Linked DNA regions of Anolis sagrei. The protein of the gene in region 4 binds, or shares a complex with, the protein of the main gene of each other region. Links are inferred from orthologs where the notes say so. Each region holds a gene or a part of one and is shown on either strand. Other genes may lie near its edges. The genes, in order: POLR2K, GTF2A1, GTF2H4 and GTF2F1.

Evidence for each region.
Region 1: GTF2F1 (region 4) and POLR2K share a complex: the UniProt entries of both Homo sapiens proteins name them as parts of the TBP-based Pol II pre-initiation complex. The link is inferred for Anolis sagrei from reciprocal best matches to the Homo sapiens genes GTF2F1 and POLR2K.
Region 2: GTF2F1 (region 4) and GTF2A1 share a complex: the UniProt entries of both Homo sapiens proteins name them as parts of the TBP-based Pol II pre-initiation complex. The link is inferred for Anolis sagrei from reciprocal best matches to the Homo sapiens genes GTF2F1 and GTF2A1.
Region 3: GTF2F1 (region 4) and GTF2H4 share a complex: the UniProt entries of both Homo sapiens proteins name them as parts of the TBP-based Pol II pre-initiation complex. The link is inferred for Anolis sagrei from reciprocal best matches to the Homo sapiens genes GTF2F1 and GTF2H4.

The regions. Positions count from the first base shown.
Region 1 is NC_090024.1:31,136,421-31,143,929, forward strand, and holds the start of POLR2K (DNA-directed RNA polymerases I, II, and III subunit RPABC4), read right to left. Parts: upstream 3,079-7,509; 5' UTR 3,000-3,078; intron 1,113-2,999; 5' UTR 1,107-1,112; coding exon 1,046-1,106; intron 179-1,045; coding exon 86-178; intron 1-85. UniProt on the Homo sapiens protein: DNA-dependent RNA polymerase catalyzes the transcription of DNA into RNA using the four ribonucleoside triphosphates as substrates.
Region 2 is NC_090021.1:309,778,684-309,786,339, forward strand, and holds the start of GTF2A1 (transcription initiation factor IIA subunit 1), read right to left. Parts: upstream 3,105-7,656; 5' UTR 2,791-3,104; coding exon 2,761-2,790; intron 1-2,760. UniProt on the Homo sapiens protein: TFIIA is a component of the transcription machinery of RNA polymerase II and plays an important role in transcriptional activation. TFIIA in a complex with TBP mediates transcriptional activity.
Region 3 is NC_090022.1:24,318,401-24,326,413, forward strand, and holds the start of GTF2H4 (general transcription factor IIH subunit 4), read left to right. Parts: upstream 1-4,830; 5' UTR 4,831-4,919; intron 4,920-5,136; 5' UTR 5,137-5,168; coding exon 5,169-5,299; intron 5,300-8,013. Other genes in the region: VARS2 (valine--tRNA ligase, mitochondrial), read right to left, coding at 244-365, 1,782-1,882, 2,038-2,122, 3,055-3,294. UniProt on the Homo sapiens protein: Component of the general transcription and DNA repair factor IIH (TFIIH) core complex, which is involved in general and transcription-coupled nucleotide excision repair (NER) of damaged DNA and, when complexed to CAK, in RNA transcription by RNA polymerase II.
Region 4 is NC_090022.1:159,537,626-159,545,209, forward strand, and holds the start of GTF2F1 (general transcription factor IIF subunit 1), read left to right. Parts: upstream 1-4,537; 5' UTR 4,538-4,610; intron 4,611-6,807; 5' UTR 6,808-6,857; coding exon 6,858-6,869; intron 6,870-7,584. UniProt on the Homo sapiens protein: TFIIF is a general transcription initiation factor that binds to RNA polymerase II and helps to recruit it to the initiation complex in collaboration with TFIIB. It promotes transcription elongation.

The DNA.
Region 1 (7,509 bases), on a different chromosome or scaffold from region 4:
GCAGCCTAAAGGAATGTTAGAAGTTCATATAGTCTGAATCAGTGTATGAAAATAAAGCAAGGAAGACACACATATAGAAGGATACATCTTTTTGTTCTTTTCTTGTACATTATTCTGTAACCACATTCTCTGCATCTGATAGGATCTCTTGCTTTAATTTCATTTTCTTTGTGACATTCTGAAATGAAGAAAAAGAATTACATTATGAGGCCAATCCTGGAAACCAACTGCAAAAGAACTGAGAATAAAGCAACAGAAGCACTTGACATTTTATAATTTTTAAACATTCTTGTTTAAAAGTACAGATTTTGACTGATTTATTTACTAAAATAGTGGAATTAAGAACCTCTCATCATAGTCTATAAATTTAAGTTCACTGTGATTATGAAAGAATCTTAACATTTCACAAGTTGGAATTTGTTAAAACAATACATTAATATAGGAGTTTTTTAGTATCCTCAATGCAGCTCACACAATATATTTATATACCATGAACTACAGTCTTTGAAACACAAACTAGTATCCTTCCCACAGTGCACTGATAGTACATGGATTTGTAGTAGAGAGTATGCACCAGATAAATGTTAAAGCAAAACAACGCAGCTGCAGTACGCCCAGAAAAGAATACATCTACACACTGTAGAATAAATGTAGTTTGGCACCACTTTAGCTGCCATGACTTAATGCTGTGTGATTTCATTTACCTAAAGACAATTTGGGCCATGATCATAAGCACAATACCCAAATAATAATTTCCCAAATGATTTAGCAGAATAATTCCAGTGAATGAAAGTAGCTGTGCTTCTATTCTGTTTTAATCCTTAAAGGAATTTAGATGAGGAAAGGTAGAAGAAACAAATCTTATTTCTGGAGGATACAAATATAAGACATTGTTGTCTAGAGCTCCCATAAGCTTCCAGAAAGAGGGAGTGCAATTTCAGAGTGAAAATGTATTCTAGAAGTACCCTTGATGTCATTTTCATCTACTTTCTTGGGTCTCATTTTCAGACTTCTTCCTACTACAATGACATTGCACTGGACTCACCTCCACAGATGTATATCATTGGTTGCTGCTTTGGTGGAGGTGCATCAGTCTGGGTGTCCATCTTCTGCTAGTAAAAGGAAGACAACTCATTCATACCAATTACAGCTTTCAAACACATAGAGCGTCCTTCAGCCCTTCAAACATCCTTCAATCTTACTGTTAATGTGTTTACAAAGAAGAAGCCCAGAGAGGGAAATGAGACTCAACATATATGCAAAGAGATCTTGGAGCATCTTAGAGTCTCATTGAAGCCCCTTCCACACAGCTGAATAAAATCCCACATTAACTGATTTGAACAGGGATAAATGGCAGTGTGGACTTAGATAACCCAACTCAAAGTACATATTATGGGTTATATGGCTGTGTGGAAGGGCCCTAAGAGAACAAGGTTGGCATAAACTTTCATGGACTTTCAAGGAATCCATGCATCTGAGGAAGCAGACAATTTGTGAAAATGTATTGTCGAAGGCTTTCATGGCCGGAATCACTGGGTTGTTGTAGGTTTTTTTCGGGCTGTATGGCCATGGTCTAGAGGCCATACAGCCTGAAAAAACCTACAACAACCCAATTTGTGAAAACTTATGGTACACGTTCAGCATTCCTTATATGCAATTCTAAAATCCAAACTGTTTTCAAGGGCAGTTGAAATAACAGTGCCTTTGTTTTCTGCTGGTTCAATATATACAAACTGTCTAAACGGCTTATACGAAACACAAATGAATTTGTATTGTCGAAGGCTTCCATGGCTGGAATCACTGGGTCATTGTAGGTTTTTCGGGCTATATGGCTATGTTCTAGAAGCATTCTCTCCTGATGTTTCACCTGTATCTATGGCAGGCATCCTCAGAGGTTGTGAGGTCTGAACATCATAATCTCTGAGGATGCCTTGGCAGTTAAAGTGGTATCGAACTACATCAATCCTATAATGTAGAGCAGCGTTTCTTCAGCCTGGGGGTCACAGGGGGATGTCAGAGGCAAAATGTCAGGAGAGAATGCTTCTAGAACATGGCCATACAGCCCGAAAAACCTACAACAACCCACAAATGAATTTCATGTTCAGACTTGGGTCCCATCTCTAAGACCCCTTCCACACAGTAGTATAAAATCCACACTGAACTAGATTATATGGCAGCGTGGACTCAAATAATCCAGTTCAAAACAGATATTGTGGGTGATCTGCCTTCATATTCTGGGTTATATGGTCGTGCGGAAGGGCTGAAAGAGATCTTGTTATGTTTGTTGTTGTTCATTTGTTCAGTCGTCTCCGACTCTTCATGACCTCATGGACCAGCCCACGCCAGAGCTCCCTGTCGGCCGTCACCACCCCCAGCTCCTTCAAGGTCTTCTTATGTACACCTATGCAAATACGGACATTCCAAAATCTCCTCCAAAAGATTTCTGGATCCAAACATTTCAAATAAGAGCTATTCAACTGGTATCAATTTCATTTTTGGGGGGTGCATTTACACAGCAGAATTGATGCAGTTTGATACCACTGTTAAATGTCACGACTCCATATAATTGACTCGTGGGAGATGTAGTTTATTAAGGTACCAGCATTATCTTGAAGAGAAAGCTGAAGACCTTATAAAATAACTCCCCTGATGCTATAGTATTGTGCCATGACAGTTAAAAGTGGTGTCAAATTGCTTCAAATCCAGTGTAGACCAGGCATGAGCAAACTTGGGCCCTCCAGGTGTTTTGGACTCCAACTCCCACCATTTCTAACAGCCTCAGGCCCTTTCCTTTTCCCCCTCAGCCGCTTAAGCGGCTTAGGGGGAAAAGGAAGGGGCCTGAGGCTGTTAGGAATGGTGGGAGTTGGAGTCCAAAACACCTAGAGGGTCCAAGTTTGCTCATGCCTGGTGTAGATGCTCTTAAAGTGCTCCAAAGTCCCTTTCAGCCCCGTCTAAACAAAATTCCCATCAACAATCTGATTGAAAACAATGCGCCCTACCAGCTCGTGCACAACTCATGCACTCCTTCCTCTGACGGCGCAGTCTGATGACGTTTGAAAGCTCTGCAAAGGGGAGAGAAACCCTAAGCTCCGCCCCTTCCATTAGGAGTAGTTTTCCAATTCAGACACATGGAGGCGTTTTGAATTTGCTCCTCTCCGATGTTTTCTTAAAGGGACAGGCTGAAAATTAACACTGATTTTCTTTGCCTTGGCAACTTAACCTTTACTAAAGAAGCAGTTGCTTTCTTTGCTTCCTTTCACACAGCTAAATAAAATCCCACATTATCTGCTTTAGCTGGAATATATGGCAGTGTGGACTCAGATAACCCAGTTCAAAGCAGATATTGCCTTGATATTCTGGGTTATATGACTGTTTGGAAGGGCCCTTAATATCAACTACAATTTCACATCAGAGTGAAAGCTTTAGGCTTTTTTAGGTGTATCTACACTATCAAATTAATGCAGTTTGAGACCACTTTAACTGCAATGACTAATTGCTCTGGAATCATGAGGACCGAGCAGTCTGGCAGAGGAGATTAAAGCCCTTGTCGAACTACAACTTCCATGATTTTATTGTGATTTTATTCTGACGACCTGACTTTTGTACTTGTATGATATTGTATGATCTGTATTTTAATGTATTACGATGCTGTTATGTTTACTATATTTGTGTTGACTTTTATTTATTTATTTACTTATTATTTACTTTGCTTATATACCGCTGTTCTCAGCCCGAAGGCAACTCACAGCGGTTCACAATCAATACAAACAGCAATAATTCAATGCAATAATGTAACAATTACCAACTTAACACATTACCCAATCAATAAACAATTACTACAATAACCAATCACTATCGTCTCATCGTCCAAAACATAATCCAGATTCGTCATCCATTGTCCATTCCTATGTACATTGCCAATCATTGCACTAGTTATTCGAACGCCTGCACAAACAGCCAGGTCTTCACTTTTTTGCGGAATACCATTAGAGATGATGCTAGTCTAATGTCGGTAGGAAGGGCGTTCCACAGCCGAGGAGCCACCACCGAGAAGGCCCTATCTCTCGTCCCCGCCAGCCGTGCTTGAGAAGCAGGCGGGATCGAGAGCAGGGCCTCCTCGGAAGATCTCAAAGTCCTGGTAGGTTCATAGGCCGAGATGCGGTTAGATAGGTAGCTTTTCTGCTGTTAGCCGGCCGGAGTCCCTCTTCAGAGGTTGAGAAGACAGGGTTATAAAAGCTCTAAATAAATAATAAATAAATTATTCCCAGTACTGAGCCCTTGGCAGTTAAAGTGGTATCAAACTACATCAATCCTATAGTGTAGAGCAGCGTTTCTCAACCTAGGGGTTGGGACCCCTGGGGGGGGGGGTCACCAAAGACCATCAGAAAACACAGTTTGGTGTGGGAAGTTTGGCCCAGTTCTATCATTGGTGAGGTTCAGAATGCTTTTTGATTGTAGGGGAACTATAAATCCCAGCAACTACAACTCCCAAATGTCAAGGTCCATTTCCCCCAAACTCCACCAGTGTTCACATTTGGGCATATTGAGTATCTGTGCCATGTATGGTCCAGATCCATCATTGTTTGAGTCCACAGTGCTCTCTGGATGTAGGTGAACTACAACTCCAAAACTCAAGGTCAGTGCCCACCAAACCCTTCCAGGATTTTCTGTTGCTCATGGGAGTTATGTCTGCCAAGTTTGGTTCAATTCCATCATTGGTGGAGTTCAGAATGCTCTTTGATTGTAGGTGAACTATAAATCCCAGCAACTACAACTCCGTGGCATTGGACCGTAGTCATTAAAGTTGTGTCAAACCCACCAGCAACACATGGGATATATCTGTATTAAGTGCAGATGAACCCCACATGTTACTGGATTCCAATTTTCAGCTTTCCTCACCATTGGCCCAAAGGAGGGCCAATCACACCTTTAAAAAGAGGAGGAGGTGATTCCCATTCTTATCTAACATATTTGAGAGTATTTTAATTGCTATGGCTCAATGCTATGAAATCATAGGAGTTATAGTTTGATACTGCACTAGCCCTGTGACAGAAAAGGCTGAGGACCTTGGAAAAATATGATTCCCATAAGCCTTGAAAGTTGAAGTGGTATCAGACTGCATTAATTGTACAGTGTAAAACAGGCATGGTCAAACTTTGGCCCTCCAAGTGTTTTGGATTTCAACTCCCACAATTCCTAACAGCACTGGCTGTTAGGTATTGTGAGAGTTGAAGTCCAAAACACCTGGAGGGCCAAAGTTTGCCATGCCTGGTGTAAAGGTAAAGGTAAAGGTATTCCCCTGACATTAAGTCCAGTCATGTCTGACTCTGGGGTGTGGTGCTCATCTCCATTTCTAAGCCGAAGAGCCAGCGTTGTCCGTAGACACCTCCAAGGTCATGTGGCCGGCATGACTGCATGGAGCGCCGTTACCTTCCCGCCGGAGCGGTACCTATTGATCTACTCACATTTGCATGTTTTCGAACTGCTAGGTTGGCAGAAGCTAGGGCTGACAGCGGAAGCTCACGCCGCTCCCCGGAATCGAACCTGCGACCTTTCGATCAACAAGCTCAGCAACTCAGTGCTTTAACCCACTGCGCCACTGGGGGCTCCCCTTAATAAATCACCAATTCTTTGGGTGCATCTGTGTTTTGATAGACACTGGGCTACAATACCTGCATTCCTCCTCTTGAGACATCATGACTAGAGCTGATGGGAACTGTGATACAGTAGCATCTGGAAGGCTGCAATTCGTTCTGTTTAGTTTGGAGAAAAAGGGTTTGAATTTAGATATAAAGCTTATGGATATGATGTCTGACTTGAAAATATCTCTTATCCTTTCCCCAACATGAGAACCAGAAGTGTGTTGGACTGCAATTAAAGGCTGTTAAATGCTAATCATGGTGGCCAACTGCAACATCCGCAGACAAGAGTTCTTTTCCCCACCCTGGACGTTCCACAGATAGATAATCTTCACTTGCCTAGTTTCCAACAGACCCCTCAACCTCTGAGGATGCCTGCCATAGATGTGGGCGAAACGTCAGGAGAGAATGCTTCTGGAACATGGCTATAGAGCCCGGAAAACTCACAGCAACCCAGTGATTCCGGCCATGAAAGCCTTCGACAAACAAAAATGACAATGACTTTGACATTTGTGGATTACATTGTAGGAACAATGTAGCTTGAGGTCACTTTCACTGCCCTGGCTCAGTTCTAAGAAGTGCAGGAAAGCCTCTTGGGCGCTTTGCTGCTGCTGCTGCTGCCTTCTTGGCTGGGCTTTCTTGTTGTGGCTTCCTCTCCTTGGCAGCCAAAGAGGAGGAGGAAGAGGAGGGGAGAAGCCTAATCAGTTGGGAAAGGCGGGTAGTTCAAAATGGAGCGAGGGAAACCCTGAGGAGGAAGGCGCACGAGGGCAGCCGGTTGAAGCAACAGGGAGGAAGAGGAAGAAGAAGAAGAGGAGAAGTGGCTGCTGATGCTTCTTTGCAGAGCTCTCCCTTCTTCTCCGAGGCAACGCTGGGAAGGAGTTCAGCGCTGCTCCTTGGACACCATCCTCTCCCTCCCCGCTTTAAACCCCCCTTCCATTGGGCACACTCTTCCTCCTCCTCCTCCTCTTGCCTCCTTTCAACGCCCTTGTAGTGACTCTCCAGCTGGTTGTGTCATGAGAAGAGTTGTGTCTGTCCCCTTGCCTGCTCCTGAAGGAAGGAAGAACGCACATAGAATGTTACTAGACTCAGTGCTCATTGCTTTTGTGTGAACTCCATGCTTTGCTTCAAATTAACTTATTAATTAGTTAGGATACTACTACTAGTAGTTCTCTTGGGGGGGGGGGGTTATTGGTTTCTTTGTTTTACTTTCCCTCCTCCAATAATAATGAAGCACTTCATTTGAAGCAATTGCTGGTCTTCCAAGTAATTTGGTAAGTTGTCCTGCTTTGAAGGATGGGAATTTCACACAGCCAGCATTTACTAACTCAATGTATTGTGGAAGGCTGGAATCACTGCATTGTTGTAGGTTTTTCAGGCTATATGGTCATGTTCCAGAAGCATTCTCTCCTCCTGCATCTATGGCAGGCATCCTCAGAGGTTGTGAGGTCTGAGTATTATACTAAAAGAGCATCTCTTAATACTAACTGGAGGAAAATATTCTGAGTGGTTAACATTACAAGCTTATAGTATACACTTACCTGGAAGTAGCTTTCATTGGAAACAATGGCATTCGCTTATGAGTTAATTTGTATTGAGGTGTGGAAAATATTAGTATCAATCAAACCTGTTTGTATTGATACTCTGGTCAAATAGCTTTCCTTAAAACAGGCACTTGGCTTCATATTTATGTATTTTGAAGCCTATTTGTAGCTTGATGTTTCTGAGCACAATGGAATGAGTCTTCCTTGTCATTTTACATTCATTTGCTCAGCTTCAAATATACTGAGATTTTTTAAAATTTACCATATCAGAAGCAAACCGAAGTTACAGTTGGTTTCACAGTTGTGTAGGTGGAAAGCACACACTTGTG
Region 2 (7,656 bases), on a different chromosome or scaffold from region 4:
ATTCAAACTACTGTTACAAGCCTAATCTTTAGAGAAATTTATTTTCTTAAAATTTTATCTTAAAAATATAATGATAATTCATTGTGTAATGTTTTAAAGAGTATTAGCTCTTTGACTTTGAAAATTATTAGATATGCTAAATTCATTCTGCATTTCTGTGACAGATTATAATATATCAAGAGAGTATTTTACATATTGTAATAACTCTTGCAGCAGAAACGTTATCCAAGTTCTTGCCTTTTAATCCCTCAAAACCTAGAAATCACAATTTAAACCAAAAAAGTAATGTGTTCTAATCCAGTCAAGTCCAATTAATATCAGTGGGACTAAGCACTGAAATTCAAAAAATAGCCAGTATTAAGAACAGTTTAGTAGCACTGTTTTCAACTAGACACTGTCTCAACACTTTCTGCTAGTTTAGGAATCAGCTCAAGCCTCAACACCTCAATGATGAGAAAAATGACCACTTTCTTTTCATATTGCACTTCAGGACAGAGATAAATCAGTAAAAAAATTACACATCAATAAATAGATGACTTTGACAACCGAAATGTTTTTATAACACATTTACTAGCCAAGATTGCAATTTCTAGTTCTTATAGTCACCCAATCACTTACATTTGTTTCACTGCATACAAGCACAACACAAAAAATGCTTTAAGCGAAACAAATAAGAAAAGCTAACGGGTGTCCAAGTAGAAGAACCGCAAATAAAATCAAGAGCACCAGCTCACAAAACACCAACTCAAATAGAAAAGCTCTGCTGCTGCGAATAGTGCAATGCTGCAGCTTCCCAGCGACAAAGAGAGCGCTTTCCCAGCCTCTGCTTGTGCTGCGCAGGCACCTCCCAGCCTGCTCTCCGCAGCTCTCTCCCTATTTAAAGGCTGATCTGGTGTTTAAATGGAGAGGCGGTGACGTGGGGCTGGAAAGCACCTTCCCATCCTGGCAGAGTCTATATTAGAGAGCGGCAATGGCTCTATATAAACAGGGCAGCCACAGGGAGGAGGAACACAAGGAGCAGGGAGAGAGAAAAGCAAGGGGAAGCCATGATGGATCTCAGAGCACAAAATGAGAGCCGCCTGGACTCAAGGGTTTGTCAAGCAGCGATTTATTTTGCAAGGGGGGGGGGGGGATTGGAAAGGGCTTTTTTTTAAAAAGTGCATTTAGTTTAGATTGTATTTTTTTTTCTTTAAATGTAGTAAACAATAAAAAAATCAGGGAGGGGCAGGGTATTTTTTTTCTCCTTTCTTTCTTTCGTGTGACTGCTTATTGCAAACCGATGTGAAACCGAGATCCTGAAAAGTGTGCCTGGTAATCAACACAAAAATAAATACAATAACTGGTAGAGAAAAGAGTGGCTTTCTTTACAAATAAAAGGAAGAGTGAGGGAAAGACAAAAAGCATTTGACTGCCGGGGTTGTGGGGGGGATCCGGAAAGAAAAATTTAAGAGAGAGAGAAGAGGGAAAGAAACAGTTGAAACGAAGTGTGTAAAATGATAAAGATGAATAAATAAAATCGGAAAGGGGGGGGGGAGAACAAATGAATTCCTTCAGAAGAAAAAAAGAAATACTGGACTGGATTGAAGAAAGAAAAGACAGAAAGAAGATGAACTGAAGAAAGAGAAGACACAGCCATATAACCCAGAATATCAAGGAAGAAAATCCCACAATGTCGGCTTTGAACTGTGTTATCTGAGTCCACACTTCCATATATCCCAGTTCAAAGAAGAAAATTGGAAGGGGGGGGGATACGAAAGGGGCCTGAAATAAGATGAAGACAAAACAACAGGAAAGAGTGATTTCTTCAGAAGAGGGGGGGAAAGGAGATGGAAAGACAAATACTGAACTGCCCGCATCTAGAAAAGGAGTGGAAAGAAAGACAAGACGATGGATAGCAGTACAGAGTGGTTTCTTCATCCAGGGCCCTTCCACACAGCCATATAACCCAGATCATCAAGGCAGAAAATCCCACAATATCTGCTTTGAACTGGGATATACAATACCATATATTGGCAGTTCAAAACAGAAAATGTAGGAAAAATAAAAAAGAGGAGGGAGGTTAAAGAGAACAATTTGACAGAGATATAGAAAAAGGGGGGGGGGGGAGGAAAAAGAGTGATAAGATGAATAAAGCCATCACTATTGGACAGAGTTATAGAAAAAAGGTGGAGGGGGGGGTTAAAAGGGAAAAGGGGGATAAGATGAGTAAAGGACCAAAGAGTTGTTTCTTCAGAAGGAAATATTGCTCTGCCGGGCTGAGAATTCAAAGTGCTTTTCAACCTTGGCGTCCAGCAGAAGAGGCTAAAAGGGGAGCAAATGGGGTTATATCAGGCCTGGGCAAACTTGGGCCCTCCAAGTGTTTTGGACTCCAACTCCCATCATTGCTAACAGCCTCAGGCCCCTTCCTTTTCCCCCTCAGCGCGGCTGAGGGGGAAAAGGAAAGGGCCTGAGGCTGTTAGCAATGATGGGAGTTGGAGTCCAAAACATCTGGAGGGCCCAAATTTGCCCATGCTTGGGTTATATACACACACATGAGGAAAAGGAAGGGGAAAGAGGGCAACTAGGCGGCTCTTCTCCTCCACTCCCGTCCTTGGGTGCAAAGCAGGCCACGGGGCAGCTCCCCTTCCTTCCTTCTTGCTCTCCTTCCTTCCTTCCCGCCCTGCAGATCAGCCAGTCCCCAGTCCCCCTTCCCGCCCCTCTCCCGCGCCATCCTGAGGCCTTCCCTCCCGCCTCGCCTTCCTTCCTTCCTTCCTTCCTTACCACGGGGTTTGTATTAGTCGAGCTCGCCATGGCCCTTTCCTGAGGGAAAGCAATCTACCGTTCAAGGCGGCAGCACCAACCCCCCCCCCCTTCCTCCTCCCTCCCTCGGGTTTGTTTCTTGTTGTTGTTGCTTCCCCAGCCGGCCCCCCTCCTTCCTCAGCCGGCCTGAGAGCCCCCTTACGAAGCCGCTCCCGCTTTTTTTAAAGTTTCTATATCACCGGACCGCCCTCAGACGGCGGCCCTTGGGCTGCAGCCGCCAGCCAGCCAGCCGCCCGCTCCGCTCGCTTCGCCCCTTTATATAGCGAGTGCCGAGACGCTGCGCGAGCGGCCAGGGAGAAGGGGGAGGCCGAGGAAGGGAGGGGCGGGAAGCCTCGCGAGAAGGAGCGGGACTTCGCCATCCCCCTCCCTCGCGCCCGCCCAGCTACTTCCGCCTTCGCCTCCTGGAGAGTTCTGATTGGTCGCTTCATCCCCGCTTTCCCGCTCTTTAAGGTTGAGAAAAATGACCATAGAGGTAGTAACGTTTAGAGCGCTGCCACTTCTCAGGCCTACAACGCCAGCAGTATGATAATCCTTCCCGCTCTTTAAGGCTGAGAAAAATGACCATTTATTTTATTTATTTATTTGTCGTGTCAGGGCAACCAGTCAATTGTATTACATTTCTAACAGAACAAAGCAAACAAACAAACAGACAAAATACAAAATTTGCAAGTTTGGTAGTTGATTAAATGTCCTTTGACCAGTATCTGGCCACTTGGAGTGCTTCTGGTGTTGCTGCAAGAAGGTCCTCCATTGTGCATGTGGCTGGGGTCAGGGTGCATTGCAGCAGGTGGTCAGTGGTTTGCTCTTCTCCACACTCACATGTCGTGGATTCCACTTTGTAGCCCCATTTCTGAAGGTTGGCTTTGCATCTCGTGGTGCCAGAGCGCAGTCTGTTCAGCGCCTTCCAAGTCGCCCAGTCTTCTCTCATTTGGTATCAGCCATTGGTTGAGGTTCTGGGTTTGAGCCTGCCACTTTTGGACTCTCGCTTGCTGAGGTGTTCCAGCGAGTGTCTCTGTAGATCTTAGAAAGCTATTTCTAGACTATAAACTATGACTATAGAGATAGTAATGTTTAGAGCGCCGCTACTCCTCAGGCATCTGTATAAGGCCCTCAGGAATCTGTATAAAGACCAATTGGCAACAGTAAGACTTACTTTTGGCGATCCCTTGTCCAAGTAGGATAATCTTCCAGGATGGGTCCGTAGGTGACTATGGAGCCCTATTCTTGCTCTGCATCATCTTCCACAGTGAGGGCATTGGTTTCCAGGTGGAAGGCAGTCCCAGTCGGGGTTGGCTTGACGCGCCTTCCTCTTGGCACATTTCTCTTTTTCACCCTCCATTCGTGCCTCTTCAAATTCTGCAGCACTGCTGGTCACAGCTGACCTCCAGCTGGAGCACTCACAGGCCAGAGATTCCCAGTTCTCAGTGTCTATGCCAGAGTCTTTAAGGTTGGCTTTGAGCCCTTCTTTAAAACTCTTTTCCTGCCCGTCAACATTCCTTTTTTCATTCTTGAGTTCAAAGCAGAGCAACTGCTTTGGGAGACGGTGGTTGGGCATCCGGACAACGTGGCTGGTTCAGCGAAGTAAGAACTGACCAAGAACTTTCCCAATCTTGAACCAATAGACAGGTTCAAGATTGGGAAAGTCATACATCAGGGTGTATACCTATTCAAATTGTATGCAGAACACATCATGCGTTGTGCACGGCTTGATGAATGCAAGGCTGGGGTAAAAATTGCTGGAAGAAACATTAACAACCTTAGATATGCAGATGACACCACTTTGATGGCTGAAAGCGAGGAGCTGAGGAGCCTTCTAATCAAGGTGAAAGAAGAAAGCGCAAAAGCTGGGTTGCAGCTAAACATTAAAAAAAACAAGATTCTGGCAATCGGACTGATTGATAACTGGGAAATAGAGGGAGAAAACATGGAGATAGTAACAGACTTTGTATTCCTAGGTGCAAAGATTACTGCAGACGCAGACTGCAGCCAGGAAATCAGAAGACGTTTAGTTCTTGGGAGGAGAGCAATGACCAATCTGGATAAAATAGTGAAGAGTAGAGACATCACACTGGCAACGAAGACCCACATAGTTAAAGCAACGGTGTTCCCCATAGTCACCTACGGATGTGAGAGCTGGACCTTAGGGAAGGCTGAGCAAAGGAAGATAGATGCTTTTGAACTGTGGTGCTGGAGGAAAGTTCTGAGAGTGCCTTGGACTGCGAGAAGATCCAACCAGTCCATACTTCAGGAAATAAAGTCTGACTGCTCATTTGAAGGAAATTAGAGGCAAAGATGAAGTACTTTGGCCACGTCACGAGAACACAGGTCAGCTTGGAGAAGACAATGGAAAATGGAAGGAAAAAGGAAGAGGGGCCGACCAAGGGCAAGATGGATGGATGGTATCCTTGAAGTGACTGGCTTGACTTTGAAGGAGCTGGGGGTGACGATGGCTGACAGGGAGCTCTGGTGTGGGCTGGTCCACGAAGAATCAGAAGCGACTGAATGAACAACAACAAACTTCTCAGGCATTGAAAGTGGACACTGTGACAATCCTTCCCTCTTTTTAAGGCTGTGAAAAATGACCACAGAGGTAGTAACGTTAGAGTGCCGCTACTCCTCAGGTATAGAAAGCGGACACCGTGATGAGGCCTACTTCAATGGTCCTTCCCGCTCTTTAAATCTGAGGGCCCTTCCACACAGCCTAGAATATCAAGGCAGAAGATCTCACAATATCTGCTTTGAACTGGGTTATCTGAGTCCACATTCAGATAATGTGTGATTTGCTGCCTTGATGTTCTGTGATATAGGGCTGTGTGGAAGGGCCCTGAGAGAAATGACCATAGATGTAATAACTTTAGAGGGCCGCCACTCCTCAGGCATCTGTATAAGGCCAACACTGTGAGTCCTCTTTGGTCATTTCGGCCTACTTTCCCGCTCTTCAGTGGAGAAGCCTGGCTACAGAGTCGCAAAGGGTAGAGCGTCTCCAGAAAGAGAACGCGGTTTCTACATATCTTTCTTTCACCAGCCAGGTTTCTTGGCGGGGACTTCAACTCCCAGAGGCCTTTGCCAGCGTGGCCAATTGCCAGGCATTCTGGGAGCTGAAGTCCAAAAGGAGGAGCCAAGCCAGGAAAGGACGGCGCTCCCTCCTTACGGCCGGTGTTATGCGATATAAAATGACACGTTGTCTTTCCTGTCGGCTTCCTTTTCCTTTCCTCCGCAAAAAGGGCGCCATATATATTTTGGTCTATTTTGGCTTTTGGATTATTTGTATCTTAAAGGTAATTGTTTCCCCCCGACATTAAGTCCAGTCGTGTCCGACTCTGAAGGGGTTGCTGCTCATCTCCATTTCTAAGCCGAAGAGCCGGCGTTGTCCGTAGACACCTCCAAAGTCATGTGGCCGGCATGACCGCTTGGAACGATTTGTATTGTATTTGTATGTGTTGTCTGTGTCAGGCATTGAATGTTGGCCTTTTTATATTGGAATCCGACCTGAGTCTCCTTAGGGAGATAGGGCGGAATATAAACAAAGATTATTAAGATGATTATTATATAAAGGTAAAGGTTGTCCCCTGACATTAAGTCCAGTCATGTCTGACTCTGGGGTGTGGTGCTCATCTCCATTTCTAAGCCGAAGAGCCAGCGTTGTCCATAGACACCTCCAAGGTCATGTGGCCAGCATGACCGCATGGAGCGCCGTTACCTTCCCGCCAGAGTGGTACCTATTGATCTACTCACTTTTACATGTTTTCAAACTGCTAGGTTGGCAGAAGCTAGGGCTGACAGCGGACGCTCACGCCGCTCCCCGGAATCGAACCTGCGACCTTTTGGTCAACAAGCTCAGCAGCTCAGTGCTTTAACCCACTGCGCCACCAGCCCCCCCTTATATATTATATTATTATATAGGGGGGGAAATAAGGGACGTTTCTAATACCCCCTTTGTCCCTCCACTCTCAATGTCTTTAGAAACTAGAGTTGGAAGAGACCCCAAGTGCCATGCAGCCTAGCCCCGTTCCCCCTTGCATAAACACCATCAAAGCACCCCTGACAGATGGTCATCCAGCCTCTGCTTATAAACCTCCAGGGAAGGAGATCCATCTCACTGCTAGATAGTTCTTATTGCAAGGAAAGTCTTCCTAAAGCTTAGGTGGGATCTTCCCCCCCTCCCCCTGCCATTTGAACCCGTTACTCTATATCCTAGACTCCAGAGCAGGGGTCCTCAAACTAAGGCCCAGGGGTCCTCAAACTACAGCCCCCCCCCCCAAGGTCATTTACCCAGCCCTCGCTCAGGGTCAACCTAAATCTGAAATGATTTGAAAACACATAACAACAACAACAATCCTATCTCGTCAGCCAAAAGCAGGCCCACACTTCCCATTGAAATACTAATAATTTTATATTTCTTAAAATTGTTCTTCATTTTAATTTTTGTATTGTTTTTCAGTGTTTTTTGCACTACAAATAAGATATGTGCAGTGTGCATAGGAATTCATTCATTTTTTTTTTCAAATTATAATCCGGCCCTCCAACAGTTTGAGGGATTGTGACCTGGCTCTCTTGTTTAAAAATTTTGAGGACCCCTTCGCTAGACCATTAGAAACTAGCTCCCTCCTCAATGTGATATTCTAACATTCCATCCCACATTAAATTAAATGTGTTCAGCTGTTTCCGCACTAATTGGGAGCTCTGAAGACAATTGCTCCCCGATTCCACAAACCTCAGTTTCTGTACATTTTTGAAACAGTTTACATATGGAAGTAGCATCATATGATGGGCTCCATGGGACTCCGTCTGTAAAAGTGTGTAGAAATAGGGACTGGATGGCTATCTGTCAGAGGTGCTTTGCTTGTGTGTGCCTGC
Region 3 (8,013 bases), about 140 Mb from region 4:
ATCAGCCCTAGATAGCTTAGCCAGTCGTAAAGAATGAGAAAAACTGAAGTGAGAAATATGCTGAGTCTTTAAATTCTACTATCAGGATATATGTGTGCTTTAATCTCCCCACTGTGAGGGTTTGACGGCTGTTAATCTAAGCAAAAATACATCACCGACAAAAATGAAACTATGTGAGACCCATCATTCTTAGAAGGCAAAGAGCCTATAACCATTTCCCATGCTCTCTAGAACTTGACTTACCACCGTACCAAAGCATCTTCAATAGCCACAGTTAAAGCATGACCCAGGTGCAGGGACCCTGTGACGTTAGGTGGAGGAATAGAGAGAGAAAATGTTTCTGGCTTCCGATTCGGCAAATGATGCTGCCAAAAGAAAGAGAATGAGATCAGCATTGGCTGAAGTCAGAACAACCCTCACTAGACAATGAACTTTCAGGGCCCCAGAGATTGGATTATTAAAGCCCCTTCTATACTCCCATATAAATTCCAGATTATCTGCTTTGAACTGGATTATATGGCAGTGTAGATTCATATACTCCAGTTGAAAGCAGATAATGCAGATTAACTGATTTGATAATCTGGATTATATGGCAGTTTAGAAGGCACCTACCTGTCATGAGAATATAAAAAAAGTCCACCTTCTAAAATTCTGTAACCAACCAGATGTTTTGTGGGAAATCAAGAAGCAGAGCATAAAGCCGATAGCATCCTTCTGCTGTTTGTTCCAAATTACAGATTTAGTCTCTCTTATCTAAAATGTTTGGACCAGAGATTTTTAAAATTATTTTGGTTTTTTAAAAAAAACTGTACTTGTATATGCATAGTGAATGATGGGTGGGGGAAGGGGGCTAGTTACACATCCAGCCCTCACTGACCTTTTATCAAGAAGCTATTACTTCACCACAGTCAGAACCTTGACAGATAAAAGGAAGTCGAAAGGACTCCGGATTCTGCTACTACACTTACACAAAGTCCTTGTAAGAAGCAAACATCAGGGAAGGCAAAGTCTAAATGAATCTGGCTGCTACAGATTCAGGGGATGTTTCAAAGCCCCAGCTGGCCAGCCAATCTTGCCCCATTTCCAGGGCACCCATCCCACAGTTAGCCCGGTAGAAGGAAACATGGCATCAGTTCTCAGACAGTTGGAGCTTTGCAACATTTTCTGAGCTGCAGCAGCTGGATGCATTTGAAAGTATCCCTCCCCTGACACCTGTCTTTTTACAGGGGTTTGTTTAAGTCCAACAGTAGAATCCAGAGTCCTCACTCTTCTCTTTCCTCCATCAAATTTCTAATTGTTGTGTAGCACACACACTACTTAATACAGGAACTTAGCGACTACAGCAAGCAGCTGCTAGGAATTGTGGGAGTTGAAGTTCAAAACACCTGGAGGGCTGAAGTTTGCCCATGCCTGAACTACAACAACCTCATCCATCCTCTGTTTAAATGCCTCCGGCAAATGACAGCCTGCCAACTCCCGAGCCCTTCTTTCCACTGTCCTACAAAATCTAAGCATTACAGTAAAGATGGATATGTAATCATCTCTTGTTGGACTTTAATTCCCATCAATCCTTGCCATCATAGTCAATGGTAAGAGTGTCACCTATTCCAAAACCTATAGTGAGGGGGCCAAATATTGTCCTGATTTGTTTTTTTCCAACTCATGCTTCATCTTCCAACTCAGTATTCATCCTTCTGTTGGTTCAAAGGAGAACATTCCCCTCTCATTTATTCATGAGGATGCTTTTCTAATACAATTAGATCACAGAAACAAATTTCTACCTGGTATTCTGGTTTGAAAAATCCTTCTTTCACCCACCAAGCATACCAAGCAGCTTCAACATAGCGTGGGCTATAGGAGATGGGCAGAGGCCCCGAAGTGTCTGTGGAGGGAAATGCAATCAATACAAAGACTCCATCATTACAACAAGCATTTGCACATTCCACACACTTAAAATTTGTACAAATCTGGGTTTGTTATTGTATATCTTCAAGAACTTCCTGACTTATGGTGGCCCTAAGTCAAACCTCTCCTTACCTTTCTTTTCACCAGCTACGGTTGGGATGTCATACAGAGCCATGTCTCTTGCTCTTCTGCCCTTTCCTTGGCTTGGATGCTCATCCTGTGAAGAATAAAAACAGGCACGAAAGAAAACTCCTGCCCTGTGTTTGAGAGACCTATGCATTGTTAAAAGCTGATGTCATGACAAGTAACTATAATAATAATTTATTTATTTGACTAGTTATATGACCATTTCAAAATACAACACGAATAAAATACAAGGCAAAAAGGAGAGGACAGCAGCTGACCTTCTATTTAAAGTCAGAATCTTATTTTCCTGGTTCTTCTTTCAAGTAACTATAAAAATCATGTTGATAAGCCACTGTACATCACAGCTCTGAGGGTATATCTGCACTGCAGAATTAATGAAGTTTCATACTCCTTTAACTGCCAGGGCTCAATGCTAAGGAATCATGGGAGTTATAGAGACAAACGATAACACCAATGATTCCTTAGGATTGAGCCCTGGCAGTTAAAGGAGTATGAAGGAGTTATAGAGTCTCAGAAGCCCCAGTTGGCGCAATGGGTTAAACCTTTGTGCTGGCAGGATTGATGATGGACAGGTCAACAGTTTGAATCTGGGGAGAGTGGGTTGAGCTCCCTCTGTCAGCTCCAGCCTCCCACAAGGATGGTAAAACATCAAACATCCGGGCATTCCCTGGGCACCGTCCTTGCTGATGGCCAATTCTCTCACACCAGAAGCAATGTGCAATTTCTCAAGTCGCTACTGACACACACACAAAAAAAAGAGTCACAAAGTCCGTAGCCTTCTCTAAAGGTGCTGTTGCAAACAACAACTCCAATGATTCCACAGCACTAAGTCATAGCACTTCAAGTGGTGTCAAAATGCATTAATTTTACAGTGTAGATGCACCCTGAGAAATGGGCAGGATAGGAATCAGATGCTTAAATACATACTCGTTTCTGTTAACTCTAAACTTAATCAGATTTGTCCACAATGAGTAGTTGGGCATCATAACCTGCTTCACTCACCTTCATCCCAGCAGTCAGTCCAGCTTCAATGGACGCCAGCCTCTCCCGCTGCCGCTTCTGTTTCTCGGCCCTATTTTTCAAATGGGCCGTTTTCCCCACTTGACCGTGAGGTTCCTGCTTGTTGGCTTGGGAGTAATTCCTCCAGTGGGCAGGAGCATCCCAATGCCTCTTGTGAAGCCGAAGAAGCAGACGGCAGACAGAACACATATTTCGGCCAGGATTAAGTGATGGTGATGGCATGCTTGGAAGTGGAAGCTTTCAATTGTCGCAAAATCTTTTCTTCGCTAATAAAACAAACCAGAAATTACATATTTAAGTAGGGGAAATCCAACAGGTCAAACTCACCAGCTATGCAGAAGTTTGACAACGGGGAAAACAGGGGATGGATTTTGTATTAAAGGCACCTGAGCCTCTGTTCAGAGGCTGAGATTGTGTGAGTTGCTCAAGGACCCCCAGTGCTTTTCTATGGCTGAACAGGGATTCAAACTTTGGTATTGCAGTTAATAAAGGTGCATGAACATTGCAGAAATAATGTAGTCTGACAACTTTAACTAAAAAAAATCATTAATATTAATACTATTATCATTAATAATACTATTATTAACACTATCTTGTTGGTTTGTTTTTGTTGTTTATTTGTTCAGTTGCTTCCGACCCTTTGTGACCTCATGAACCTGTTCCTGATTTGAAAGTGTTATTTTCTGTTTAATGGTGCGATGCGTACTTTGAAAGTTTCTGGAAGTCCACCTTCTAATCAAGGTGGTCAGTTGAAACATTCACACCTAGCTCCAGCAGACAAGAGTCCTTTGTCTCACCCTGGTCATTCCACAGATATATAAACCCCTTTTCCTAGTTCCAATAGACCTCACTACCTCTGAGGATGCTTGCCATAAATGCAGCCGAAACGTCAGGAGAGAATGCCTCTAGACCATGGCCATATAGCCCGAAAAAATCTACAACAACCCAGTGATTCTGGCCATGAAAGCCTTCGACAATACATTCTCACTGTTACTATTATTAGGTGCCGCCGGTGGTGCAGTGGGTTAAAGCGCTGAGCTGCTGAGCTTGTTGACCGAAAGGTCACAGGTTCAATTCCAGGGGGCGGCGTGAGCTTCCGCTGTCAGCACTAGCTTCTGCCAACCTAGCAGTTCGAAAACACGCAAATGTGAATAGATCAATAGGTACCACTCCGGTGGGAAGGTAACGGCGCTCCATGCAGTCATGCCGGCCACATAACCTTGGAGGTGTCTATGGATAACGCCGGCTATTTGGCTTAGAAATGGAGATGAGCACCACACCCCAGAGTCAGACATGACTGGACTTAATGTCAGGGCACAACCTTTACCTTTTATTACTATTATTCTCTCAATCAGTCTCAAGGCAACCAATAAGATGCTAAAAACAATACAAAACCATAAAACGTTATGCAAGTTTTAAGAAAAATCTTTACAAAGAAGATTAAACCACACACACTGACTGCAAGCAGGAGAAAGCAGGCGGGCGGCCAAAGGGAGTGTCTACACTGTAAAATTAACCCAGTTTGGCACCCCTTTGTACTGTCAGGGATGGAGGCTATGGAAAGCTAGGGTGTTGTCGCTTTACAAGGCTTTCTCTGCCCAAGAGAGCCGGTGCCTGGCCAACCTACAGCTCCTGGGTTTCTATAGCTGGTCCAAGTGGCGCCAAATTCCTTTCATTCTGCACACACCTGCATCAGACCCCATGGAAGGAGAGGCTTGTGCTGCTTCTCTGTGGTCGCTTCCGGGTGAGGTGCATGATGGGAAATGAGGCGGGCTGGACCGGAAAAGCCAGGCAGAGAGGAAGAGGAGCAGAGGGATAGAGCCTCGCCTGGAGCATCCTTCCTGAGGGTGAGGCTGAAGGCCAAGGATGGGGAAAGGGAGAATCAAAGAGGCACTAAAGCAAGCCTGGGCCAACTTGGGCCCTCCAGGTATTTTGAACTTCAACTCCCACAATTGGCTGTTAGGAATTGTGGGAGTTGAAGTCCAAAACACCTGGAGGGCCCAAGTTGGCCCAGGCCTGCTTCAAATGCATCTAACTATCTTTCACCTTTTGTTGCCACATCAGAGATGTCCTAGCCACAAACTGGACTTTTTCGCATGGAGTCGGTGATGAAGCTCCAGAAGGTGCACTTGAAATGCAAGAATCTGCACGAATTCCTGCGAGGCCTCAGTCCTGGGGTCTTGGATCGCCTCTACAATCACCCCGCTACTTGCCTGGCTGTCTTCCGGTGAGTGTGAAGCCCCCATGTTTCCTCTTATCTGAGTGCTGCTCTTTCACCGGTCTGAGATTGGAGAAGACATAAAAACTTCGCTATGCTTCATTAAAAAATATAGCCCTTCTGATTCACAGGTTTTTGTAGCACTAAAGCTGCATAAACTGTAAATGCAATGCACTTTAAAGAGTGTGTTGAATGCACTCAATACATACAGTGTAGCAAACTCATCTAACCACTTCATCACGCTAGAGCAGTGTTTCTCAACCTCCCTAATGCTGCAACCCTTTAATACAGTTCCTTATGTTGTGGTGACCCCCAACCATAAAATTATTTTTGTTGCTACTTCATATCTGTAATTTTGCTACTGTTAAGAATTGTAATGTAAATATCCCTCCCATACCTTTTCCTATTACTCTCCCAACCCTCTATCCCAATTCTTTCCCATTTTATGTATACCTTGGAAAACTCAATAAAACATAATTTTTTAAAAATCTAATATGTAGGATGTATTTTCATTCACTGGACCAAATTTGGCACAAATACCCAACATGCCCAAATTTGAATACTGGTGGAGTTGGGGAGGGATTGATTTTGTCATTTGGGAGTTGTAGTTGATGGGATTTATAGTTCAAAGAGCATTCTGAATTCCACCAATGATGAAATTGAACCAAACTTGGCACACAGAACTCTCATGTCCAACAGAAAATACTGGAAGGCTTAGATGGGCATTGACCTTGAATTTTGGAGTTGTAGTTCACTTCACTTTATTTCTTAATTAGTCGTTCTCCACCAAGGCGGTCTGAGCGACTTACAATTTAAAATAGCATTTATACAATATAAAAACATTCAACATAAAAACATACAACAGTGACTATTTGGCAAATTAGATCTGATCACTTTACTTAAATGCACAACCACCTACATCCAGAGAGCACTGTGGAGTCAAACAATGATGGATCTGGACCAAACTTGGCACGTATATTCAATATGCCCAAATGTAAACACTGGTGGATTTTGAGGAAATAGACCTTCACATTTGGGCATTGTAGTTGCTGGGATTTATAGTTCACCTACAATCAAAGAGCATTCTGAACTCCAGCAATTATAGAATTGGGACATACTTCCCACACAGAACCCACGTGACCAACAGAAAATACTATGTTTTCTGATGGTCATTGGTGACCCCTCTGACACCCCCTCATGACCTCCCCAGGGGTCCCGACCCCCAGGTTGAGAAACGCTGCACTAGAGGGGGGGAAATCCACTTAAAATCTGGTTTCTGCCTCATGCAGACTTCTGGGGTTTGTAGTTTAGTGAGGCTGTCAAAGGCTCCTCCCTAAACTACAAACCCTAGAATTCTGCAGTAGGTAGAAACCGAATTTTAAATGGATTTTAAGTGTCTGTATATTGTTTATACAAAGTGGCATTGAATGTTTGCCGTGTATGCGTACTGTGATCCACCCTGAGTCCCCTTTGGGGTGAGAAGGATGGAATATAAATATTGTATTATTATTATTATTAATTCAAACTTGGCTCTTCGAGCAAGCATTCGGAACCCCGGAGTAAAAAGACAAACTAGAGTTGGAAATTGACCCAGGAACGGCCAAGACAATGTAACGGATGAAGATTTGAATGAGAGGACATAGTCTCTTTTTAAATTGTTTATTATGTACTGTCATTTATGTTTAATTGCACTTGATGTTTTTGCTTTATCAATGTATGTATTTTGTTTCGGCATCAAATTGTGCCGACTGTGTATACCGCCCTGAGTCGCCTTCGGGCTGAAATGGGCAGGATTGAAATAATATAAATAAATAAATAAATTCAAACACAACAAGATGAGTCCACAGCAGACAAGATCACTCTGCTGGCTGTTGTATTGGATCACACATCGGACACTTCCCAAATGTCTAGGACTGTGTGATGTATCGGCAAATAATGCATGCAGATCCCAGTAAGGTGGCCTTCTGCAGTTGGCAGATGGTAATTTTGTCAGCGCCGATTGTGTTTAAGTGCAGGCCAAGGTCGTTAGGCACTGCACCCAGTGTGCCGATCACCACTGGGACCACCTTTACTGGCTTGTGCCAGAGTCTCTGCAATTCAATCTTTAAATCCACATATCATGTCAGCTTCTCCAGTTGTTTCTCTGCAATCCTGCTGTCACCCGGGATTGCGACATCAACGATCCATACTTTGTTTTTTAACACGATCATGAGGTAAGGAGTTTTGTGCTCCAAAACTCTGTCTATCTGAATTCGGAAGTTCCAGAGGGGTTTGTCATGTTCATTTTCATTATTATTATTATCATTATTTTCGCTAGTGTGATTAGCCCTTTAGCATGCATCTACTCTGCACATTATAGTTTTGCAAAGAATTTAACCTCCTCTTCCAAAGAGTGCTGATGTCTCATTGAACTACAACTCCTAAGATTCCATAGCATTGAGCCATGGTAGTTAAAGGGAATTCAAACTACATTAATGGTACAGTGTATCAGTGTTTTCCAAACTGTGGTCTTCCAGGGCCCCATCCACACAGCTGAATAAAATCCTGCATTATCTGCTTTGAACTGGAATATATGGCAGTGTGGACTCTGATAACCCATTTCAAAGCAGATATTGTGGGATTTTCTGCCTTGATATTCTGGGTTATATGGCTGCATGGAAGGGCCCTAGGTGTTTTGGACCTCGGCTCCCAGAATCCCTGGTCGTTGCCCAATTATTATTATA
Region 4 (7,584 bases):
TAGAGACAAAGCTGAAGTACTTTGGCCACATCATGAGGAGACAGGAAAGCCTAGAGAAGACAATTATGCTGGGGAAAGTGGAAGGAAAAAGGAAGAGGGGCCGACCAAGGGCAAGATGGATGGATGGCATCCTTGAAGTGACTGGACTGACCTTGAGGGAGCTGGGGGTGGTAACGGCCGACAGGGAGCTCTGGCGTAGGCTGGTCCATGAGGTCACGAAGAGTCGGAGACGACTGAACGAATGAACAACAACAACATTGTTAATTTAAGATGGACAGATAGATAGATAGATAGATAGATAGATAGATAGATAGATGATACAGATACATATATAGACACACATGAATACACACCTAGCCTAGTCTATGGTGTGAGAGAAGATGAGAAAGAAACAGATCTTCCTTCACAGGATGACTCTTCCAATGTAAAGAAAAGCTGAAGGTGAAAACTAAAGTCGAACCTTTAGGGCAACACAAGGTAAGTATGGAGGTGATGATGAATCTTGGAGGAGCGAGCACGCCTTGACCTTTCTCCCAACTCAAGCTTTGTCTTCTGCAGTTCAGGTTGAGTAGCTCTTATCTGAAACCCTTGGGACCAGTAGTGTTTTGGGATTTTGGATACACACATAATGAGATAGCTTGGAGATGAGAATTCTAAAAAGGGAATTCATTTGTGTTTCATACACACCTAAGGCATGTCACCTGAAGGCCATTTTATACAATACTAGCCGTCCCCTGCCACGCGTTGCTGTGGCCCACATGGGGGTTCTGTGTGGGAGGTTTGCCCCAATTCTATCATTGGTGGAGTTCAGAATGATCTGTGATTGTAGGTGAACTATAAATCCCAGCAACCACAACTCCCAAATGTCAAGATTCTATTTTCCCCAAACTCCATCAGTGTTCACATTTGGGCATATTGAGTCTTTGTGTAGAGTTTGGTTCAGATCCATCATTGTTTGAGTCCACAGTAATCTCTGGATGTAGGTGAACTACAACTCCAAAACCAAAGGACACTTCCCACCAAACCCTTCCAGTATTTTCTGTTGGTCATGGGAGAACTGTGTGCCAAGTTTGATTCAATTCCATTGTTGTTGGGGTTCGGAATGCTCTTTGATTGTAGGTGAACTATAAATTCCAGCAACTACAACTCCCAAATGACAAAATCATTTTTTTAAGTGAAGGACATACATTGGATTGTTAGGTGTCTTGTGTCCAAATTTGGTGTCAATTCGTCCAGTGGTTCTTGAGTTCTGTTAATCCCACAAACGAACATTACAATTTTATTTATAACTCCAAACAAAGATAAATAAATAGATACCGTATTGTTTTGTCCCTGAAACTATGAAACAATGTGTGTACAATCAACTCATAGAATGGAAGCCTTTTGCAATTTCAGCTATCTGAGTGGACAATTTTGGATTTTGAAGCATTACAGGATACTCAACCTGCACAGGCAGTCCCCAAGTTAGAGACAAGGTAGGTTTCTATAGGTTTGTTCTTAAGTTGAATTTGAATGTAAGTCGGAACAGGGATGTTTGAAGTGTAACTCCAACCAAAGATAAATAGATACCGTATTTACTTGATTCTAATACTCACCTTTTTATCTATATAAATAAAAATGTAATGTTCGTTTGTGGGATTAACAGAACTCAAAAACCACTGGACAAATAGACACCAAATTTGGACACAAGACACCTAACAACCCAATGTATGTCCTTAACTCAAAAAATTATGAATTTGTCATTTGGTAGTTGTAGTTGCTTGGATTTATAGTTCACCTAAAATCAAAGAGCATTCTGAACTCCACCAACCATGGAATTGAACCAAACGTGGCACAAAGGACTCCCATGACCAACAGAAAACACTAGGAGGGTTTGGTGGGCATTGGCCTTGAGTTTGGGAGTTGTAGTTCACCTCCATCCAGAGAGCACTATGGACTCAAACAATGATGGATCTGGACCAAACTTGGCACAAATATTCCATATGCCCAAATATGAACACAGATGGAGTTTGGAGGAAATAGACCTTGACATTTGGGAGTTGTAGTTACTGGGATTTATAGTTCACCTACAATCAAAGAGCATTCTGAACCCCACCAATGACAGAATTGGGGCAAACTTCCCACACAGAACCCCCATAACCAACAGAAAATATTTAAGGCCATCCAGTCCAACTTCCTTCACCAGGGCAAGAAAATGTAATCAGAGCCCTCCTGACAAAGAGACATCCAGCCATAGATATAGATATAGATATGATTCACACACACACACACACACACACACACACACAGATATAGTATCATAGATTTGAAAGAGACCCCTAAAGGACAATGATATGTTGCATATTCCAGAGTAGGCAAACCAGACACTGTCCACATCAACACTGACAAAGGAACAACAAGAAATACTGTTTACCCACAAGCATCAAGACATTATATATATTAGAAACCAACACTTTCTCATTACTTTATTTTCCAGATCACCAGACTGGGCCACAGCAACGCGTGGCAGGGGACGGCTAGTCTATATAAATAAAAATGTAATGTATATTTGTGGGATTAACAGAACGCAAAAACCACTGTGGGAATTGACACCAAATTTGGACACAAGACACCTTACAACCCAAATGTATGTCCTTCACTCATAAAAACACTGAAAAACACAGCAGAAGGGACTTAAAAAAGCCCCAAAAAGCTAAATGACAAAAAGCTAAATGACAATACAGAAAAAAGGAAGAGGGAGGGAAGGGGAGAAAAAAAGAAAGAAAGATGGAAAGGGAGAAGGAAGCATGGAAGCAAAGAGAGAAGGAAGGAAAGAGGTAGAGAAGGAAGCAAGGAGAGAAAGAGGAAGGGAAAGAAAAAGGGGGAAGGAAGGAAAGAGAGAAGGAGGGAAGGAGACAAGGAAAGAAAAAAGGGAAAGAATGAACGAAAGAAAGAGAAGGAAGGGGGGAAGATGTAGAGAAAGAGGGGGGAAGGAAAGAGAGAAGGAAGAAAAGAGGGAGCAGAAGAGAAAGAAAAAGGGGGAAGGAAGGAAAGAGATACAGAAGAAAGAAAGGAGAGAAAAAGGGAGGGAAAGAAAGAAGGAAATGGAGATGGAAGCATGGAAGCAAAGAGAGAAGGAAGGAAAGAGGTAGAGAAGGAAGAAAGGGGAGAAAGGGAGGGAAAGAAAGGAAGGAAGAAGGAAGCATGGAAGCAAAGAGAGAAGGAAGGAAAGAGGTAGAGAAGGAAGAAAGGAGAGAAAGAGGGAGAGATAGAAAGAAAGAAAGAAAAGAAAGAAAGAAAGAAAGGGAGAAGGAAGCATGGAAGCAAAGAGAAGGAAGGAAAGAGGTAGAGAAGGAAAAAAGTAGAGCAAGGAAGCATGGAAGCAAAGAAGGAAGGAAAGAGGTAGAGAAAGAAGGAAGGAAGAAAGAGAAGGAAGAAAGAAAGGAGAGAAAGAGGGAAAGAAAGAAGGAGGGAAAGAAAGAAAGAAGGAAAGGGAGAAGGAAGCATGGAAGCAAAGAGAGAAGGAAGGAAAGAGGTAGAGAAGGAAAAAAGTAGAGAAAGGAAGCATGGAAGCAAAGAAGGAAGGAAAGAGGTAGAGAAAGAAGGAAGGAAGAAAGAGAAGGAAGAAAGAAAGGAGAGAAAGAGGGAAAGAAAGAAGGAGGGAAAGAAAGAAAGAAGGAAAGGGAGAAGGAAGCATGGAAGCAAAGAGAGAAGGAAGAAAGAGGTAGAGAAGGAAGAAAGGAGAGAAAGAGGGAGGGAAAGAAAGAAAGAAAGAAAAAGGAGAAGGAAGCATGGAAGCAAAGAGAAGGAAGAAAAGAGGTAGAGAAGGAAGAAAGGAGAGAAAGGAAGCATGGAAGCAAAGAGAAGGAAGGAAAGAGGTAGAGAAGGAAGGAAGAAAGAAAGAGAAGGAAGGAAGGAAGGAGAGAAAGAGGGAAAGAAAGAAGGAGGGAAAGAAAGAAAGAAGGAAAGGGAGAAGGAAGCATGGAAGCAAAGAGAAAAGGAAGAAAGAGGTAGAGAAGGAAGAAAGGAGAGAAAGAGGGAGGGAAAGAAAGAAAGAAAGAAAGAAAGAAAAGGGAGAAGGAAGCATGGAAGCAAAGAGAAGGAAGGAAAGAGGTAGAGAAGGAAGAAAGGAGAGAAAGGAAGCATGGAAGCAAAGAGAAGGAAGGAAAGAGGTAGAGAAGGAAGGAAGGAAGAAAGAGAAGGAAGGAAGGAAGGAAGGAAGGAGAGAAAGAAGGAAAGAAAGAAGGAGGGAAAGAAAGAAAGAAGGAAAGGGAGAAGGAAGCATGGAAGCAAAGAGAGAAGGAAGGAAAGAGGTAGAGAAGGAAGAAAGGAGAGAAAGAGGGAGGGAAAGGGGTAGAGAAGGAAGAAAGGAGAGAAAGAGGGAGGGAAAGAAAGAAAGCATCAACTCTGCACCTGGAACAAATGCCATAGAAAATCATCCAAGACACAAACTCTCTGCCGGATTGTTGATTTCAGAGTTCGCGGGCGCCCCCTGCCGGCCGCCAACGCCTCTCGCAGGGAGGAATAGAATAGCTGCACTCGGCTACCGGAAGTGTGTTTGGTGGCCGCCGGCTTCCGGCGCATGCGCAGTGGCGGCGGAACAAGAGGAGGCTGAAGCTGCCTAGAAGAGGGTGAGTCTTTCATGGCGCTGCTGTCTTTTGTGGCTTTGGTTGTCCCCAAACTCCCTTTCCCTTCCCTCCAGACTAGAACCAGGCATCCCAGCCTGGCACAAGGAAAGGGGCATTAAGAACAGCCAGCGATTGCGTTTGGGAGGCTCCCCTTGCCCTCTTTTCTTCCTCCCTAAGGCTTTGAAAGGGAATTGACCGGCCTTTAAGCCAGGGATTTGGCTCTCTCTCTGGCCAACCAAGTGTAATGCTAATGTGGTTTGACACCCCCCCCCCCACCCTTTTACCTGCCTTGGTCCAATGTGTGAGAGTTAGAATCACAGAATAGAGTTGGAAGAGACCGCATCTAGTCCAAGCTGCAGCCATGCAGGAAAAGCACAATCAAAGCACCCCTAACAGATGGCCTTCCAGCCTTTGCTTAAAAGCCTCCAAGGATGGAGTTTCCACTACACTTTGAGGCAGAGAACAGCTCTCATAGTCAGGAAGTCCTGCCTCATGTTCAGGTGGAATCTCCTTTTCCTCTCATTTGAACCCACTGCTCCATTGAGTCCTATTTTCCAGGGCAGCAGAAAACAAATCTGCTCCCTCTTCCTCATGACACCCCTTTCACATATTTATAAACGGCGATCATGTCTCCTCTAAACCTTCTCTTCTGCAGGCTAAACAGACACAGCTCTTTAAGACGCTCCTCATAGGGATTTATGTTCTCCAGACCTTTGATCGTTTTAGTTGCCGTCCTCTAGACCCACCCCAGCTTCTCAATATCTCTTTTGAACGGTGGTGGCCAGAACTAGACACAGTGTTATTCCAGGTGAGGTCTAACCAAAGCAGAATAGAGAGGCACCATGACTTCCCTGGATCTAGACACCGTGCTTCTTTTGATGCAGCTCAAAATCCCGTTGGCTTTTTTAGTTGCTGCATCACACTGTTGGCTCATGTTCAACTTGTTGTCCACAAAGACTCCAAATCTTTTCACATGGACTGTTGTTGAGCCAAGCACCCCCCATTCTCTATCTTTCTATTTCATTTTTTTCTGCGTAAGTGGAGTATCTTACATTTGTCCTTATTTAAAATCATTTTGTAATTTTTGTCCCAGCTCTCTAATCTGTTAAAGTCCTTTTGAATTCTGATCTGTCCTTGGAGTATAGACTATCCCTCCTAATATGGTGTCATCTGCAAACTTGATAATCACGCCCTCTAAACCTTCAACCAAGTTGTAGTTTTTCAAGGCCTTCTCGGCCAAAGAGTGCTGGGGCCTCATCAAAATACAGTTCCCAGGACTCCATAGTATTGAGCCATGGCAGTGAAAAGTAAGGTCCCTTCTCCACTGCCATATAATAAAGATTATCAAAGCAGATAATCTGAATTTTATATGGCAGTGTAGAAGGGGCCTAAGTGTCGAACTGCCTTCATGTAGTAGATGCACCCTTACAGTCAGATGCCCAGTGTTCTGGCTTAAATATATCTATATGTATATTCAGATGTGAGTGTCCTATATATCTATATATATAAATTGCATACAACCCAGGGCCCTCCCACACAGCCATATAACCTAGAATATCAAGGAAGAAAATCCCACAATATCTGCTTTGAGCTGGGATATCTGAGTCCACACTGCCATATATCCCAGTTCAAATCAGATAATGTGAGATTTTATTCAACTGATATTATTGTTGTTATTGTTATATTTATACCCCGCTTTATCTCTCCCAAAGGAGACTCAAAGCAGCTTAACATAAAAGCATTAGCATACAATTTAAAATATACAAATATGCAAACATAAACATTTTTAAAATCAAAGTTAAAATCAATTAAAACATATATATGCATATTTAGGAAACATAAACAGATTATGTGTTTAGGCTTGGGCTCCATCTCCAAGATGTGTCCAAATTCTAAAACACTTCGGGTCCTATACATTTAGGCCTTTACTCACTGGAGACATTTTGTCCTTTTAAAAGAAAATCTGCTCCGACAAAAGGCACTCCACACTTCTCTAGATATTCCTGGAGTGTCAGAATTTGAGGCAGCAAAATGTGGCAGTCCTTAGTGATGTTTTTCCTTGTTGCTCTTTTCCCATTTGGTATTTTCAGTCCTCTCTCCCCTCTGCCATCATTTTCTCCAGTGCCTCTGCTGACTTTCTTTACTCACAGAGCTTTTGCTCATCCTGTTTAACCTGATTATTTCATTCTTTCGCCTTCAGGTCAGTATTTTACCAAGTCATTGCTGAGTACCTGCACTGCACATCCAGAAATGACTTCTTTGGTGAGTTCCTTTAATCTTGGGGTTGTTTGAAATGCATGTGACCTCTTAGAGGTTCCTAGTAATCGGCAGCATCCAAAGTACTGTAAAACTAAATAAAAGTCTATGTATGAATGTATGTATGAATGTTGGTTTGTCTGTTTGTACCACAAAGGTTCTTACATGGAACTGGACCAAACTTGGCACACATACTCTTCATTATCCATCTTGAAATAGTTGAGGGATTTGAACTAAAAAACAAAACAAAACACCTCTTTCAGGCCCAGAGCAGAGAGAAAGAAAAAGGTCAAAGTGGATGATGTGGCTAGATGAAGGATTGCCTCTTTGTAGATGAACTGACCCTCTGATGCCACTGGGAAAGAAAGAAAGGGAGTGAAATGGTTTGGCTCCTGCTAGATGAAGTATGTATGAGGAAAAGGAAGGGAAGGAGAAAAAAGCAAAATAAGAGGAAGGAGAGAGAATGAAAATGGAAAAAATGAGGGGAGGAAAGAAAACGAAAGAAGTGAAGAGAAAGGAAGGGACGAAGGAAGGAAGAGAAGAGAGAAAAAGTAGGGAAGAGGAAGCAAAGAAGGGAAAAGAACAAGAATGGAAGGAAAAGTATATGAGGGAATGCAAGGGAAGAAGAAAGTAAAAGAGAGGGAGAAGATGCATGAGGGAAATGGAGGAAGGAAAGAACAAGCTACAAAGAGAGCCTACCTAACACAGCCAGTGTTGCCAT